Linked DNA regions of Drosophila melanogaster. Changing the gene in region 3 together with the main gene of any one other region gives a genetic interaction. Each region holds a gene or a part of one and is shown on either strand. Other genes may lie near its edges.

The links.
Region 1: of bsk (region 3) and vito, changing one suppresses a phenotype caused by changing the other (phenotypic suppression), as found in Drosophila melanogaster (one study listed by BioGRID).
Region 2: of bsk (region 3) and Atg9, changing one suppresses a phenotype caused by changing the other (phenotypic suppression), as found in Drosophila melanogaster (one study listed by BioGRID).

The regions. Positions count from the first base shown.
Region 1 is NT_037436.4:5,775,116-5,779,603, forward strand, and holds vito (viriato), read right to left. Parts: upstream 2,219-4,488; 5' UTR 2,151-2,218; coding exon 2,089-2,150; intron 2,030-2,088; coding exon 1,297-2,029; 3' UTR 1,209-1,296; downstream 1-1,208. Other genes in the region: scny (scrawny), read left to right, coding at 74-457; Myt1, read right to left, coding at 2,649-2,784, 2,843-3,207, 3,264-3,409, 3,472-4,426.
Region 2 is NT_033778.4:16,292,395-16,298,440, reverse strand, and holds Atg9 (Autophagy-related 9), read right to left. Parts: upstream 4,042-6,046; 5' UTR 3,921-4,041; coding exon 1,383-3,920; coding exon of another isoform or gene 1,362-1,382; 3' UTR 1,209-1,361; downstream 1-1,208. Other genes in the region: CG7747 (uncharacterized protein), read left to right, coding at 4,407-4,438, 4,498-5,452, 5,507-5,658, 5,717-6,046.
Region 3 is NT_033779.5:10,246,754-10,252,876, forward strand, and holds bsk (basket), read right to left. Parts: upstream 3,749-6,123; 5' UTR 3,528-3,748; intron 2,990-3,527; exon of another isoform or gene 2,507-2,989; 5' UTR 2,458-2,506; coding exon 2,342-2,457; intron 2,162-2,341; coding exon 2,032-2,161; intron 1,970-2,031; coding exon 1,772-1,969; intron 1,709-1,771; coding exon 1,444-1,708; intron 1,383-1,443; coding exon 1,099-1,382; intron 1,021-1,098; coding exon 895-1,020; 3' UTR 749-894; downstream 1-748. Other genes in the region: CG31717 (uncharacterized protein), read left to right, coding at 4,066-4,074, 4,143-4,748; Ror, read left to right, coding at 5,214-5,311, 5,522-5,674, 5,731-6,123. UniProt on the Drosophila melanogaster protein: Mitogen-activated protein kinase and key component of the c-Jun N-terminal kinase (JNK) pathway which phosphorylate and activate transcription factors involved in a wide range of biological processes including response to various stresses, cellular proliferation, differentiation and migration, and regulation of cell shape.

The DNA of each region.
Region 1 (4,488 bases), on a different chromosome or scaffold from region 3:
AGCCAGCCAGCCAAGCCTCCCCATTCACAAGGTCCGAACTCTAGCCTAATGCTTGATATTCTGTTTTCCGTAGCTACTGGTGGATGCGCGTGAGCAGCGGCAGCGGGACATCGACGACGACGAAGAGAACGAGATGGATCGTGGACGTCAGCGGAAGGTGAAGTCCGGTTCGGCTAAGGGAAACAATGCCAGCAACAGCACGCCCGGGTACAATCCATTCCAGGAGTACGAGGGCCAGAAGCGCTGGAACAAGAACGGCGGAGGTGGAGGATTTCCGCGATTCTACAATCAGAACTATCGCCAGAACTTCCAGCAGCGCAACAAGTTCAAGTTCAACCGCTTCGGAGGACCAGGCAGCGCCAAGTTCCAGCAGCAGCGAGCCCTGCAACGACATCTGTCCGCCGGCGGTGGCTTCAGTCGGCGACAACCGTCGGCGCAGCAGCAGCAGCAAACCTAACTGGATGCGGATAGGCGAGGGTCAGGAGAAAGAGATGACGCCGATGCGACTGCGGCGTGTGCATTTGTTATTGGATTTCAATTTCGCATGAGTTTTGTAAACGTTTTTTAACTGCTGATGATGAACATATTAGAAATAGGAGTAGGCGTAGGACTGTAAGCTATAAGCTAGAACATAATTGTTGCCTCCCAAAATCATCCCCAACCTTCACCGAAGCACACAGTCCCATTAGAAACTAAGGCTATCATTAAGTACGATAAAAAAAAAGAAATGAAAGATTGTGTTTGGCTGAATTCGTTTTTATTTCATTGAATCGGTATCCTTGCATCAATCGCGTGCTGGCGATACCGCTTTAATGACGCCAATAATCAGACAACAAGGTTACCGCTCTAATGTTTCATTTTTAAAAAATGTTAACCCCGTAAAGGCAAACACTAAACAGGCTGCACAACTGCGCAGAATGGAAATAAAGCAACCCAATAATACGTTAAGAACCTATGCCTAACCAGCATGCAAGCAAACTTTGTACATAGATTTCGAGACTAGATTTAGGACCCATGAAAATTTTATTATAATTTTAGCGGCGCCCCCCTTTTATTTATAGAGCATAACCGAACGGCGGCGAGCAGCGATATTGCCAATGTTAATAACCCAAAAAAAATAAAGTATGTTGGATGTAATATGTACCATGATGAATACGACGGAGAGCGGTAAAAAAAAAGATCGAACGCATCGGCGTGTTAGCAAAATTATTGTACAAGCCAGGAATTATACAGTTTATTTGATTAACTAGAGTAATAGTAAATAAACCGTAAAACAAACTATGCTAAAAGCTAAATTTAGTCGGCATTCCGTTTGCGCCGCAGCTCCTTTTTGTTGACCATCCGACCCTTTCGGTATTTGGTCTGGTTGGCCTTTCCGTACTTGAGCTGCTTGCGCTGATGCTTGGGAACGCTCTTGATGGTGTTGTTGCGGTCCCGCTTGGCCTTCTTCTGGTTGTTCTTCTTGTCCAGGCGCTCCTTCTGCTTGAACAGTTTGCTCTGGTGCATTTTCTTCAGCGTTTTGGTCTTCATCAGGCGGTCGAGATCCTTTTTGCTCTTGATGTCCGGCAGCGTGGAGTTGTTGGACTTTGTGGCCTTCGGCTCCTCTTCGTCCTCCGGCTTGGGTTTACGTTTGCGGGCGTTGGGATCGAAATCCATGCCGGGTATCCTATTGGCCTGGTCGGCTTCGTCCTCCTCGCTCTGGTCAGCCTGCTCCTCCGGTTCGCTTTCCTCTGCCGTGTTGGCACCCAACATATTGCGCTTGGCGGCCAGATCGTTGGTGGTCAGCTCCACGATCTTCACCTGCACTTCATCATCTTCGTAGGTCTCCTCCTGCTGCTGCTCCGCCTCCTCGGCCTTGTCCTCCTCGGTGAGCTCGCGCAGCGGTTCGAAGGATTTCTTCAGGTGGTTAAAGCCATCCTTTACCTCCTGCCGTATGCGCTTGCGCTCGTTCTTAAGGTTTCTTTCCAGATCCGCCTTTGCACGCGATCGTCGCTCATTCTTTCTTTTCCGGAAGCCACTGAGAAACTCTCTGCGGGATTGGGATGTGGGCATTAGTATCCTCCGGGGATTCTGTGTCTCCTTACTTACATGCGTTTCTTGTTGTCGAATACAACCTCTGTTTTTTTCTTAGGAGCCTTTTTCCTGGTCATTTTCAAAAATTGTGCTACTCGTTTTTGTTTACGTTTTCAACATGTGCGAGCGGCCAGTGTTACCAGATGGGCAAAATACTTTTCCCCGAAACGAAAGGTACGTTAGAATTCAAAAATGTTTTAAAAAAAATTTTTATAGTTATACGTTTCTTGGTTTTTACCTTTAATTTGTTGTTATCATATGTCATAGATGGCATTCAGTGCAGGTTTCAATTTCAATAAGTTTTTTATTTTTAAACTTTTCAAATCGCTTTTCGTATATATATCACATGATTATATGTTCAAGTTCAACAAGTTCTTCTAAAGAAGCATTAACATTACACAATCGTAAGACTATATCTAGGGAACTTCGTACAACACTACGGTCTAGAACTAATCAAAATACAATTAACGATATATTCTGTTGCCATATGTATCTGGTATTCGTTTCGTAACTGATATATATTGGGTTTATCATAAATTCATTCGGTTTACGTTGCTCGCTGGCACCGTACTCACTCACTCGTCGTCATATTCCAGGACGAAGAGCTTTTTGCGTCGGAACGATGAGGTGTCCAGGACCTTGGCGGAAGATAGGGCGGAACACGGACTCTCGAAATCGTGTACATGAACGTACCTGCCCATTGAATCAACACTGAAAGCGGATGGGTTATGTGCGCTAGTCCATGAGCTAATCGATTAAGGGTACTTACTTATTCTTTAGCAAATCCAGACGGGATTTGCCTTGGTTTGTGTTCAATGGCGTGGAATTTATTACGTTGGGGCTACCCTGATTGGAGAGGTCCAGCGGGTCCTCGCCGGAAAGGAAGTCGGAGGCATAGCAGTCACGATTGGCAATGGGTGTGGATCCTACCAGCTGGAACTCCACCTGAGGCACCAGAGGCACTCCCTTTGACGAAGGCGAGGAGGGCACTATGTTAATATTGGGCTGTGAGGCCGTTATGGGCTTGCATAGATGCAGGACCTCCAGGAAGTATAGAAGGTAACGAAAGGCGGCTGTTTTCCAATTGCACATTCTTCCCCAAACGGCGCGGCGAGATCGCCTAAAACTACGCGACTGCAAGTTGTCAAGGGTTAAGATTGATTCTCAAAGATGTGCTTGGGAATGCTTACCAGCATGCTGAAGTTCATCAGCGACTTGCGCTTCTTTTGCAGGTACTGCAGCTTGGGATGTGAGAGTAGCTGCTCGGCCGTCGGCCTCTGCGCAGGATCGGGCTTCATCATGGACTTAATTACCGACTGCAGCTCCAGTGATATTTCTGTGCGAAGAGAAAGGCTTTAGCAACCTGCCATTTAAGTAGGCAGCTAGTTCGCAACTCACTGTTTATGAACTCCTCGGGCAGAATGCCGTGCCTCAGTTCGTGCCACAGTGGGCCGTTGGAAGGAAGATCCATGTAGCATGCCAGCTCTAGCATGGCAATGCCCAGACTGAAGATGTCCGCAGCCTTGGAGAAGTGACCCTGCAGGATCTCTGGAGCCATATACCTCGAATCTCCCTCCGTGGCGTGATGGCTGTTGGCCCTGTCCACATCGATGACCAGTCCAAAGTCTGCCAGCTTGCACGTCTCGTCGTCCTCGCCGATCAGAACGTTGTCCAGTTTAATGTCCAGATGGATGAGATTCCGGTCGTGCAGCGACTTGAGACCCCGCAGCAGATCCAGCAGGATGTGCCAGATGCGCTCCTCCGGTATCCTTTGGCAGCGCAGCAAGTACTGCTCCAGACTTTCGCGGCACAGCTCCATTTGCATGTACAGTCGGTCGTACTGCTCCCAGGCGCGGATGAACCGGATGCAGTTCTCATGGCCGGAGAACTCCTCGTAGCGCCGCACCTCTTCCAGCCGCTCTGCGCGGTACTGTTCGCCGCGGAACAGTTGCTTGGAGATCTTGACGGCATATAACTGGCCGTCGGAGCGATCGCGCACCTGGAATACCTCGCCGAAGGATCCTTCGCCCAGTTTGGCCAGCCTTTCGAAGCACTGCTCGAAGTGTGACAGGGAGAGGGTGCTCAGCTCGGCCTGGACTGGTGACGAGGGCAGCGTACTGGAATCCGAACATCCGGCGTCCCGGAAGGAGATCGCGTGCGCGATCTGGGAACTGTTGGTGCTACAGGAGCCCAGCGATTGGCTTCGGTTCAGATTGTTGTTGTCCACGGCGACGTAGCCACGCGTCTTGTACTTGGGCGGCCGGAAGCGATTGCTGTTCTCCCCATTGCACTGTTTGTGTCTGTGTTTGTCGTCGTGCAATTCCGGGAGGGGCAGGCGATGATGCTTTTCCATTTTCAATTTTGGGTGTCTTTTCTTATGAGTGGGCGAGTGTGACCATATCGGACAGCCGGCGA
Region 2 (6,046 bases), on a different chromosome or scaffold from region 3:
TCTATCTATCTATCTATCTATCTATCTATCTATCTATCTATCTATCTATCTATCTATCTATCTATCTATCTATCTATCTATCTATATATCTATCTATCTATCTATCTATCTATCTATCTATCTATCTATCTATATATCTATCTATCTCTCTATCTATCTATCTATCTATCTATCTATCTATCTATCTATCTATCTATCTATCTCTCTATCTATCTATCTATATATATTAACGAATCTATTATCTTATCAATTGTCGAACTTATGGTTAAACTATTTCAATATTCTTTTAAAATGATAATACATTTTTTCTCTCTGCCGGATCGGATATCGCGGGCTCTACAATTAGTACTACATGCAACTGCAACTGCATCTCCAACGTCCATCGCACTGCGAGAGTCGGAGGATGCATCCAAAACGGGCAAGTGGCCGTCTAGCAGCTCGTACATTCGTGTAATGTTGGCCAATGCTCCCCCCCAAAATTGGCGTGCAGCGGAAAAATGAGACAACGTGATCCAAAGGCTCTCCAGCGATCTAGCCGCAGATTCCAGCTAGAGCTACAGCTACAGCTCCAGCTCCATGCAGCACGCACATAATTCATAAATGTTGCCACAGCTGGCGGGGATCGGCGGTATCTGCATCTGTATCGGTGTCTGCCGGCTTGGGAGATTCATAGGCACGCACTTGGTCGGTCCACTCTGTGCGCCCCGATCTCCTCCAGTCTTTGGTCTCTGCTCGCCGCATTGGCCATCAACACCAATCGCCAAATGGCGTTCGTGTGTGGCAAGTGACACACGAGGCGCTGCAGCACAGCTGGATGCGTTCTCCTCAGCCACTCGCATCTGGATCTCTGGACCAGGTGGATGTGGTGTGCCAACAATGCCTACAAATGGGGACCATCCATCAGTGCTGATGGAGCTGGCATTCCCACATCCCGGAGAGCTAAGATCGGGATAAGCCGTAAAGACATTAAATATAATCTTCACAATGAAAATGGATTTTTTTTATGGTGTCTCCTTTCAGTTGTTGTACACAGGATACACAACGGATAATGCTTAGGATTTACAAGCCATTATAATCAAACCAGGTAAATAGTTTATACATATATATATATGTAAATATGGGTAATGGGTAATCACAACTACTACACACTAATAGATTTAGTTATTATCTAGCGAAATTTCCTTTGAAATAATAAAGCTGATCAATTTGATAATGCATTTATGTTTATTGCTTCTCGTTTAGTTTAGCTTAGTTTCAGATTAGTTTAGCTACGCACTAGACGACGTCGTTCGTTCGTTTACACTTTAAAATTTAGGTTAATCACTAATAGCAGAATGGGTGGTCCTTAGCTCTACAGGTGGTTAGATCCACTCTGGCCGCTGCTATGAGCGGATGCTACCCAAAAGCGGCGTGCTCTCGGCAGCCTTTGAGGTAATCACGGTATGGCGGGAGCCGAAGCCAGTATCAGCCGACGGAGCAGCTGGTGGTCGCGGTGGCCAATGGCTCGTACCAGGACGCTCGTCCTCGGCCTCGTCGATGCGAGACTGGCGCGCTTGGCGCTTCTGCTGGTTCAGCTCGTGCAAATAGAGGGCACTGAGGCACATGTCGGCCACGCCCACATTCAAGGGAGTGCTGCCCACGCGCGGGTCCACACCACAGAGTCCGTAGAGCAGTGTATCCGTCGGACCCTCCAAGCGGCCTTCAGCCCGGCTGAGGCGCAATCGGCGCATGCTGTCCAGCGGGCCGACACTGGCGGACAGATTCTGCTGCAACATCTGGCGGAAGTCGCTGGCTGCGACGGGGAATCCTCCAGATACCGGTCCTAGACCCGGACGCAACGACTGCGAAATCTCCAGTTGCTGGGGCGTCACCTGTGCGGTCAGCACAGAGTTCGCAATGGAACAATAATCCGCTCCCATGGTGCCAAATGAGATGAGGCTGTTGGTCAGCGGGTTCTCCTGCACCATCGACGTCTTGGCCTGGACTAGTTCACCAACGGCGTGCTCTCTAACGCCGCGCAGGAACTGCTTGGCCTCCTTGGGCATCTGCCACTCGGGATTGTTCAGGGTGAAGCGAAGAAGCGACATCTCCGTTTTGCCGCCGGCCAAACTTTGCTGCTGTGGCTCCTGCTGCGGCTGTTGAGCTGTAGCCCGGGTCATCTCCTCCAGTTCGCTGGTTAACTGCCAGTCGGGATTGCCATGCTTGCGAACATCCATCTGGGCAAAGGAGCATACGTTGCCCACTCCTCGCACGGATACGGTGAACGTCCTGAAGAAACGCACCAGCTCTATGGCCTTTGGCCTGAACACAAAGATCAGCACGAAGGGTGTGACGAAGGGACTGAAGATTTCGCTGAGTAGGTAGCCAGCCTTAAACTGAAAGAAGTTGCTAAACTCCTGGCGAACCTTTGTCGTGTGCGCCTGCTGCCGCCACTCGGAGGGCAGGTAGTGAACGTGCGCCAGAATGGCGGTCATTAGCTGCTCTGGGCACCAAACGAGATTCTCATCCGGTATTAGAGTTCTGCAGACCACACCTATGGCGCCGAGCCCTGCAAGGATGGCAAGCAAATGCTCCACCTGGAAGACGTGTTCCTCGTAAATGCCCAATGCAAGGATTAGAAGTAGTAGTCCTCCACTGATAAAGAGTAGGTTTTTGGCTATCACAGCGGCCAGTGGCGAGGAAAAGGAGTTGAGATAGCGGTCCGCGTAGTCATATGCCCGATTCAGCCTGGCATCTAGTTCGTGGTCCAGTTCATTAAAGTGGCGCAGGTAGAGGCGGCCGTAATTGGACCATGTACGCAGGCCAAGGGCACCAGGCTCCTTACGAAGAATGTTCGCATAGGAGAAACTGAAGTAGATAAGTTGCCATACGAAGATCACAGGCGCTAGGACCAAATTTAACAACGCCACCCCCAATATCAGTTTGGAGAGTCGCTGCGCCAGCTCCGTTTGATTGCTTCTTACCGCAAACTCATCACGCAGCTGCCAATTGTTCTGGAAGGGAGATCCAGGGCCGCGAAACAAGATGAAGTCAATGTTGAACAACATACCTCTACTCAGCGAGACCACTTCGCCATACAGCGGTATGTGGAACCTTACAGGCAGCAGTTGCTTGTTCATCAGTGCCACTAGGTAGTTCTTGAAGCGCAGAACTCGGTGATAGATGTCCAATTCCGTAAGCGACTCCTTGTCGATGCACATATGCTGTTCGGCCTGGACGCGACGAATCCGCTGTTGCACCTCGTGCCACGTAAAGTTGTCCAGATCCGAATCCTCGATATGAAGCGCAGAGTTGTAGAATCTCTTTATATCGGCGTACTGGGTAATATGGTACACCATTTTCAGAAGCCTTATGCCCAAATAGATAGCGGCTATGAACACAACCAGGTACGTGACCCAAGTGAAGTTGGCTAAGCACTCGCCTGTGGGGTACATCACATCGGATAAAGTTGTCTTGTTGGGGTTAAGTCCCCCTGGAGGGGTGTCCCCAAAGAGCACGTCAAATCGGACGCAGTGCATCACAAAGGCAAGTAGCCAGACGACGAAACCAAACTCCAGAACCTGTAGCATTTCGTCCACTACAATCACTGTGAATCCGTGCTTCTGCTGGTACTGATACATTCGCGAGAAGAACGAGTCAAGGTCCTCGATGTGGTTCCACCGCGCACGCCCCGTCTCCGGAACCATGTGGATCATGACGCCACTGTTTCGAGGCGTGTCCTCGCCCTCATGCTCGGTGTCGTGCTCATCCAGCGGCTGCTCCAGCCCGTGTTCACCGAGGGGGTCTAAATGCGCAGCAGCTGCGTTCGCTTTTGCGTCTTGTGTTTTGGATGGGCCTTGGCCTGTGGAGGGATGGTGCTCCAGGAACGGACTGGCCGCCTCCTCGGCCAGGGAGCGGTAGTTGATATGTGGGCTAGACATCGCCCAACGTCAAGGTCAACCGTTCTGACTATTTATATCGCTGTATAGTATAAGTTGGAAAATTCTTTGTTGTTTGATTCTGCTGAACCTTCTCAGCAAACAGCTGACTCTCCTAAGAGAAGTGTTGGCCAACGTCAAAATACTGGGTAATGAATAAGTAAGGCGAACCTCTTGCAGCGCCCAATGTGCAGTGTTCACACTGCCAGGGCATCTCTAAATAACACACATTGGAGAATCAAAGGTATCTTATAAAATTAATACTTATAAATAATTAAATTTGCATTTTTCTTGTTATTTGTTTTTATATTCGTTTTTAACTTTTTGAAATACTCGATACTTTTGTTTATGGTACCCGAAGTGTGAACAGCCTAGATATCCATCAACATAAATCTGCACAGAGTTGGCAGTTCTCTCCCGCATTTGTAAACAAACTATTTGTAGCTCTTACTTTATTGCAAATTTAATTTAAAAAAACAAACAGCCAAGATGGGTAAAAGGCAGCATCAAAAGGACAAAATGTAAGTATTTAGCACATCCAGCGAGTTATGGAAATGAAGACTACCCATTGCTTTAACAGGTACCTCACGTACACGGAGTGGAGTGAGCTGTATGGCGGCAAAAAAGTGGAATCCTTGGAGAACGACCATGTCAAGTTCAAGCGGCTGCCATTCGAGCACTGCTGCATTACGATGGCGCCCTACGAGATGCCCTACTGCGATCTACAGGGCAATGTGTTCGAGTACGAGGCCATTCTTAAGTTTCTCAAGACCTTTAAGGTGAACCCCATCACCGGGCAGAAGATGGACTCCAAGTCATTGGTGAAGCTGAACTTCCACAGGAATGCAAACGATGAGTACCACTGCCCCGCCTTGTTCAAGCCCTTCAGCAAGAACTCGCACATCGTGGCGGTGGCCACAACTGGAAATGTATACTGCTGGGAGGCAATCGACCAGCTGAACATTAAGACAAAGAACTGGAAGGATCTGGTGGATGACACGCCATTCCAGCGTAAGGATATCATCACAATACAAGATCCTCAGAAGCTGGAAAAGTACGACATCTCGACCTTCTATCATATTAAGAAGAATCTACGAGTCCTGACGGAAGAAGAGCAGCAAGAGAGAAAGAATCCAGCCAGCGGCCGCATTAAGACCATGAATCTGGAGACCAAGGAGACGCTGGAACAGCTGCAGCAGGACTATCAGCCAGCGGAAGAGGAGGCCTCCACTTCGAAGCGTACAGCTGACAAGTTCAACGCAGCTCACTATTCAACTGGAGCGGTGGCGGCCAGTTTTACGTCTACCGCCATGGTGCCCGTTTCCCAAATAGAGGCGGCTATCATAGATGATGATTTGGTCAAGTACGAGCGGGTAAAAAAGAAGGGCTACGTTCGTTTAAATACGAACCTTGGCCCTCTCAACCTGGAGCTCTTCTGCGATCAAACTCCTCGAGCCTGCGATAACTTCATCAAGCATTGCGCCAATGGTTACTACAATAATGTTATGTTTCACCGGTCCATAAGGAATTTTATTGTAAGTACGATCTCTTTTGAGAGAAACTTTAATTTACTATGGTTTTATCCACAGGTGCAAGGTGGTGATCCCACTGGAAGTGGTTCTGGTGGCGAGTCCATTTGGGGCAAGAAGTTTGAGGACGAGTTTAAGCCGAATCTTACGCACACGGGCCGAGGAGTGCTATCAATGGCCAATTCGGGACCCAACACCAATGGCTCTCAGTTGTAAGTACCACAAAGTGACATTTTTTCAATGCTTTTGCAAGTATACGCTGTTTCGTAGCTTTATCACCTATCGCTCTTGCAAACATCTCGACGGCAAACACACCATCTTTGGAAAGCTTGTCGGAGGATTAGACACTCTTCAAAAGATGGAAAATATCGAGGTGGATAACAAGGACAGACCAATTGAGGACATCATCATTGAGTCCTCACAGGTCTTTGTGAATCCATTTGCCGAGGCAGCCGAACAGTTGGCCAAGGAGCGCGAGGAGGAGGCGGCCGGCAAGGAGGAGATTGTCAAGAAGGAGGAGCAGCAAAAGCGCATGAAGGAGCCACTGAAGGTGTACAGAGAGGGCGTAGGCAAGTACCTGAAACTTCAGACAGTGGCCAA
Region 3 (6,123 bases):
ACATATGTATCTGCGAGTTATTTTTCCCCGTAGGCATGTATGTACAAACAACGATACATATGGCACACTCTGGTGGTATCATTTACAAACGCACATGGATATGGGAAATAATACCTCAACGCCAATGTGGCTGGGAAATGTGTTACCTAAGACGTCTAGCTGCCCGTATGCCCGATATGCGCGAAATCAGTGTTTACTAGTTATCCGCGCGATACATTTAGCATTTGTATTATTATTGTTCACCAACGCAATTCTTTATTATCAAACCCACATTTATTCGCGATGACACTTTGCTGTTATCGTTATCGCAGCATAGGAATAACAGTACGAAGTTGCCATCCCGATCTCTACACCGGTGAGAGTTGCCAGCCCGATTTACACGCCGGCTTATTCGATACTAATTGAGTTATCGAATGACCGTTTGTTTCGTTTAAATTTAGTATAACAGTTTTTTATTTAATCATCATTTTAAATTTTTTGTATTTTAGAAATGTTTTTATCGGTAACTAAATTATCTACTTTCCATATTCTTGTATGAAACAAAATTTTAAAAGTATGTATCGACTTTATATACCGAAATAATTTATATGGTTAAACTTTTCCATTTAAATTTTATGAATTTATACAAAGATTAAAATGTAATTAGCTCCTGAAATCAGGACAATGAAATGATTAAACTGGTATTTTAACGATTTAACTTAAGAAAGCGGGCTCAAAAAACAAGGATGAGTAAGAAATTACAAAGTTTCGCATATTGATTTTATTTTTTAATGGTTACTATATTTTTAAATACAATTTGAATATTTTATTTGTTGTAATAATTTAACAATACACGCCGTATTGTTGGTAAGCTTTAGTTTTCTTGTGACTGACTAAGGAGGAAAAAGTCGTTCTCTACCGCGTTCTATTATTTGTATTGTGTGCTTCGTAGTCCATGACTTCCTCATAGATTAGCTCCTTCCACTGCTCCACAGTGTGTTCCCTTTCGTCCACGCTGTGATCATATGGCTCCGGAGCGGGCTGCAAGAGATGCATGCAATTAAGCGATTAAAAACATTCAACATTCCTAGAAATCCAGTTTATGCCAGAATCACTTACAGCATCCACTTCCTCAGCATCATACCACACGTTGATATATTCATGCTTCAAAGCCTCGTCCACAGATATCCGCTGCTCTGGATCAATGACTAGCATTTTACTAAGAAGATTTCTAGCGTCAGAAGCCTTCCGGCGGCTATTCTGATTATTATCATTTGGAAACAAGCCATCGGGGAAAAGTCTATCAAATGAGTATCCAGTGTATCTAGGACGATTTTCCACATAGTTTCGGACGGTTGGCTGTAACCGTTGCATAAACGAGGGTGATGGTGTACCTAATTGCTCTGAAAAAACGTAAAAGTTGACAATCATAACGAGAATCAAGTTATTTAAGCAGCAACATACCAATAATTTTATTCCACTGATCTATATGATCCGTTCCAGGAAACAGCACACCGCCCCGTATCATTTCGCCCATAATGCAACCGACGGACCATATGTCCACGTTCTCTGTGTATCCCATGCCCAAAATGACCTCTGGAGCCCTGTAATATCGGGTGACCACATAGGGAGTCATCATAAAGGTAGTTCCTGCAGTACGTGCCAGACCGAAATCCAAAATTTTTAGAGTGCAGTCGGCCTTTACAACTATATTGGATGGCTTTAAGTCCTGCAAATGAAGTATTTCATATATTTCATACTCATTTTAAAGATGTATTCATACTGTACGTACTCTGTGAATAATTCCTGCTGAGTGTAAATGTTTTATTCCGCACAACATTTGATAAAGCAAATAGGACATTCTGTCGTGATCCAAGTCCATTTGGATGACCTGGCAGAGATTAGCGTCCATCAGCTCCATGACCAGGTAGACATCCTGAAACTCTTCCAAGTTCCTTTGCGGCGTAAAAGCATTAAGTAAGCCAATTATCTACGGATTAAATACCTATGTTTAGTAGAAATTTGTTAAAGTTAAAGGTGCAAGTTTCATACGTTTTTATGGTTAACAAGCTTCATTAGCTTGAATTCCCTATATGCTCGCTTGGCATGGGTTACATTTTGGAATGGTCGAGATAGTTTCTTAATCGCCACATTTTGCTGGGTGATAGTATCGTAAGCGGCGCTGAAATGCATTAAATTTGTTATTTTTTTTTTTCATATTCCAGCTAATCCCATCTAATCTAATCTAATATACAATGGAGCGTTACAAATATGACTTCATACTCATGCGAAATATCTTAATTGTTTAAGCCAAAAAATTGTTAAATGTATTATATGTAATAACATATTGATAACCACTTACCATACTATTCCTTGGGCACCTGATCCTATGGGCCGTAGATTAATGTACCGACTGTGGATGGTGAAGTTGGTGTCCCCCACCTCGACGGTGTAGTGTTGGTGCTGAGCTGTCGTCATTGTTCACTGATTTTATTTATTACTAGTTGAGAGCAAGGAGCATATCGGCCTTTTCAAGAGGGTAAATAAGATAAATCAATACGGTTTTACAGTGTGATTCTGTTTTATATAAGGAGCAAAGACGTCCGTATGTATGGCTCCATTCTGAATGGGTGGAGGCAGTTTTCAGACAACTTCGTCTGGAATTAGGGGGTAGGAAAACATTAACTTTGCCTGGCCTTATTTCGGCAGAATGTTATGGCCATTAAGTGGGTCTCTGTTGTCGCGAGGGGTGAAATTTACTGGCTAGTGTGTGGCGAGTTTGTTGCCAAACCACGAGCAAAAAATATCGAGTTCCTTCAAAAAGATACAATTGCATAACGCAGTCACTTATTTGAGCCGACTTCGAATGCCGAACCCCCTTTTCTATTGATAAGCATTTAAATGTTTGCCGAACACATGTCGAATATGGTTGGAAAAACACCCAACAGAAATAACCGAGCGTTTCGTTCTTTGAGCAAAGTGTTTAGCGGCACGCACAGGAAAAAAAACCGATTTAAAATCGATATGTCCGGCTTAAACATAAAAGTACGGAATGTTGGACCACAGCGATGTACATAGCGTTCATGTGTATGCATGCCGTTGCCTGTGTAAATATGTACATACACACGATTTGTATGCGGATGAAAACTGTAAACTTCTACTGGTATACATATGTGTAAGATGTAAGCCACATACATACATATGCACATACAGCCACACAAATGTGGGTCGATAATTTAGTAACTTTTCAAACTATCTCTCAGATAAAAGATATTCCCCGTATTCGTACATCGAAAAAGCGCTCGTTTGCGCTGCAGATAATAAAGCGGTCTACGCTTCGGGTAGTGTCGATATGTAAACGTTAGACATTTGCGCATACATAGGTACATACACTCTTTGGGCAGTTGACATTTTATGTTAAATATCAATAATTTTTTTCATAACCGGCACAACTATAATTGCTTTCAATCGATTATGGCACGTTTTGCAGGAGTGTTTCGGTGATTCGATATTTGATGTGAATGGAACGTAATAGAATATTTATTTACCATTTAACGAAGAAGTACAGAATTTCTTGTGAAAATATAAAATCGATTTTTTTTCTATTTTATTCTACACACTGGGCACTCAAAGTGGCGAGCATTTTAAACTATGTTAATGTTATTGAAATTTAAGAATCAACTATCTGCGGCACTTTCGCATGAGAATAATTGTACATGGATACAATACAATATACGAAAATCTATTGGAATATTCGATCACAACAAAGTTACTTAAATCGATGTGACCAGATTGCAGTAGGACCAAAACCAGAAACGGCTAAAGTCAGCCAATCGACTTTTGATTAAAATTAGGTTTAATTAGGGGTTTAAAACCTAATAAGTGTTAATAACTTACAAATAAACATATACAAATGCAATTTATTTAATAAAGACCAAAAACTAAGTTGGCGCAGTGTTTCATTTCACCGTTCCGGTCATTAGATATTCCTTTGCTCGACTTATCGAGTATACATCGAATGACGAATGAGAAATACTGTCATCACTAACAATAAATAAAAACAAAAGAGTTGAAATACACAGCGATATGAGGACGGTTGGTTTTTGGCCACTGATGAATCACATAAGCTGATAAGTGCTAATTTTAAAATCTTGTCCTTGCAGTCATCACCAGCACTTAAATACCTATTGGAGAAGGATGTTCAGGTGTCGAAGCATTTTGTAGTAGCCGTCTCCAATCTGTCGTTCTTCAAATCCCTGCGGATCCACAGCAGATTTCTGGAGATATCATGCGATGGAATCGCCTGGTTTGTCTCATGGATCGCCTTCATCTGGTTGCTCAGCTCGAAGAGCTTGTATCAAATGCAAGTCAATATGCTCTTCGGCCTGATACTCGACGTAGTGATCGTGGCCGTGCTGAAGGCGCTTGTTCGTCGCAGGCGACCGGTGGCCAGCAAGGATATGCTGACCATTGGACCCGATAAGTTCAGCTTTCCCTCAGGTCATGCCTCCCGGGCGTTCTTTGTGCTGCTGTTCTTCGCCAAGCTGTATCCGCTTCACATCATATTCCTAATGCCGGTCACAGCTTGGGCTGTAAGCGTGGCCATCTCACGGCTCATCCTCCAGCGTCATTATATTTTGGATATCTGCGCCGGTGCTGCCATCGGAGTGTTGGAGGCACTAATCGTGGGACTTCTGTGGATCAGCGAGGAAACTGCATTTAGCATTGTGGGCTTTGTTACCGAGGAAACTGTCGACAGCATGGAGTAACGATAAGTTACGATTGGAACACCGAAAGCAATAGATAATCTCTAGATCATTATGATAAATGCTTTAACCAAATACATTGTTAATGTTAAATTCATATTATTGTGTATTTCGCATAATTTTTCTACCCTTATTTCACTGTGAAAAGGGAAAGTGTACTTTAAATGAGACTAAAGTCGTTATACAACCATCTTTAATAAAATAAATAAAGCTTTTGAAGATATTTGGATTATTAATTATAAGAAATTATAGTGTAATTCCTTTGTTCCGAGTCATAGCACTCCTAAATATATCGATTCATCGATAAGGAGTCAACAACCCCAACGACTTCGTCGGGGGATGAAATGTTGTATGCCACATAAAGTTTTCGCGAAAGGATAAATACAAAAATATTTTCGGAATCGTTGGCATGTCAATTGGACTATTGAAATAACAAAAGGCTTCATATTGTTAGCTAGATTAAGCAATATGAACAAATACTCGGCATTTATAGTCTGCATTTCGCTCGTGCTTTTATTTACAAAAAAGGATGTGGGGAGCCATAATGTGGACTCAAGAATATATGGGTAGGTATTTTCACTGAAAGTTTTCCCAAGTTTCCGCAACAATAATTAGCGAAATACTTTTGTGTGGAATTAATAATTAATGAAATCATGAGCTTAACATGTTTTATATATTTTTAAATTACTAAACATAGTGTATACTCGAATGCAGAAATCTTTAGACGCCCTTATCCTTTTAATCCTTAAAAATGCAATATATTATTTGCCCTGCAGTTTCCAGCAATCATCAGGTATTTGCCATATTTACAATGGCACCATTTGTCGCGATGTCTTGAGCAATGCCCATGTTTTCGTATCCCCCAATCTCACCATGAACGATTTGGAGGAGCGATTAAAGGCAGCTTATGGAGTAATCAAGGAATCCAAGTGAGTATGATAACTATTTCAACATTCCGTTGCTAATGCCAAGTGCATATTTTCAGGGATATGAACGCAAATTGCCGCATGTACGCTTTGCCCAGCTTGTGTTTCAGTTCAATGCCAATTTGCCGGACTCCAGAGCGCACGAATCTCTTGTACTTCGCCAACGTGGCCACAAATGCCAAGCAACTGAAGAACGTCAGCATTCGACGGAAGAGAACCAAGTCCAAGGACATTAAGAACATAAGCATATTCAAGAAGAAGTCCACCATCTACGAGGATGTGTTCAGCACAGACATATCGAGTAAATACCCACCAACCAGAGAGTCTGAGAACCTAAAACGCATTTGCCGCGAAGAGTGCGAACTTCTGGAGAACGAGCTGTGCCAGAAGGAATATGCCATTGCCAAGCGACATCCCGTCATCGGGATGGTGGGTGTGGAGGATTGCCAAAA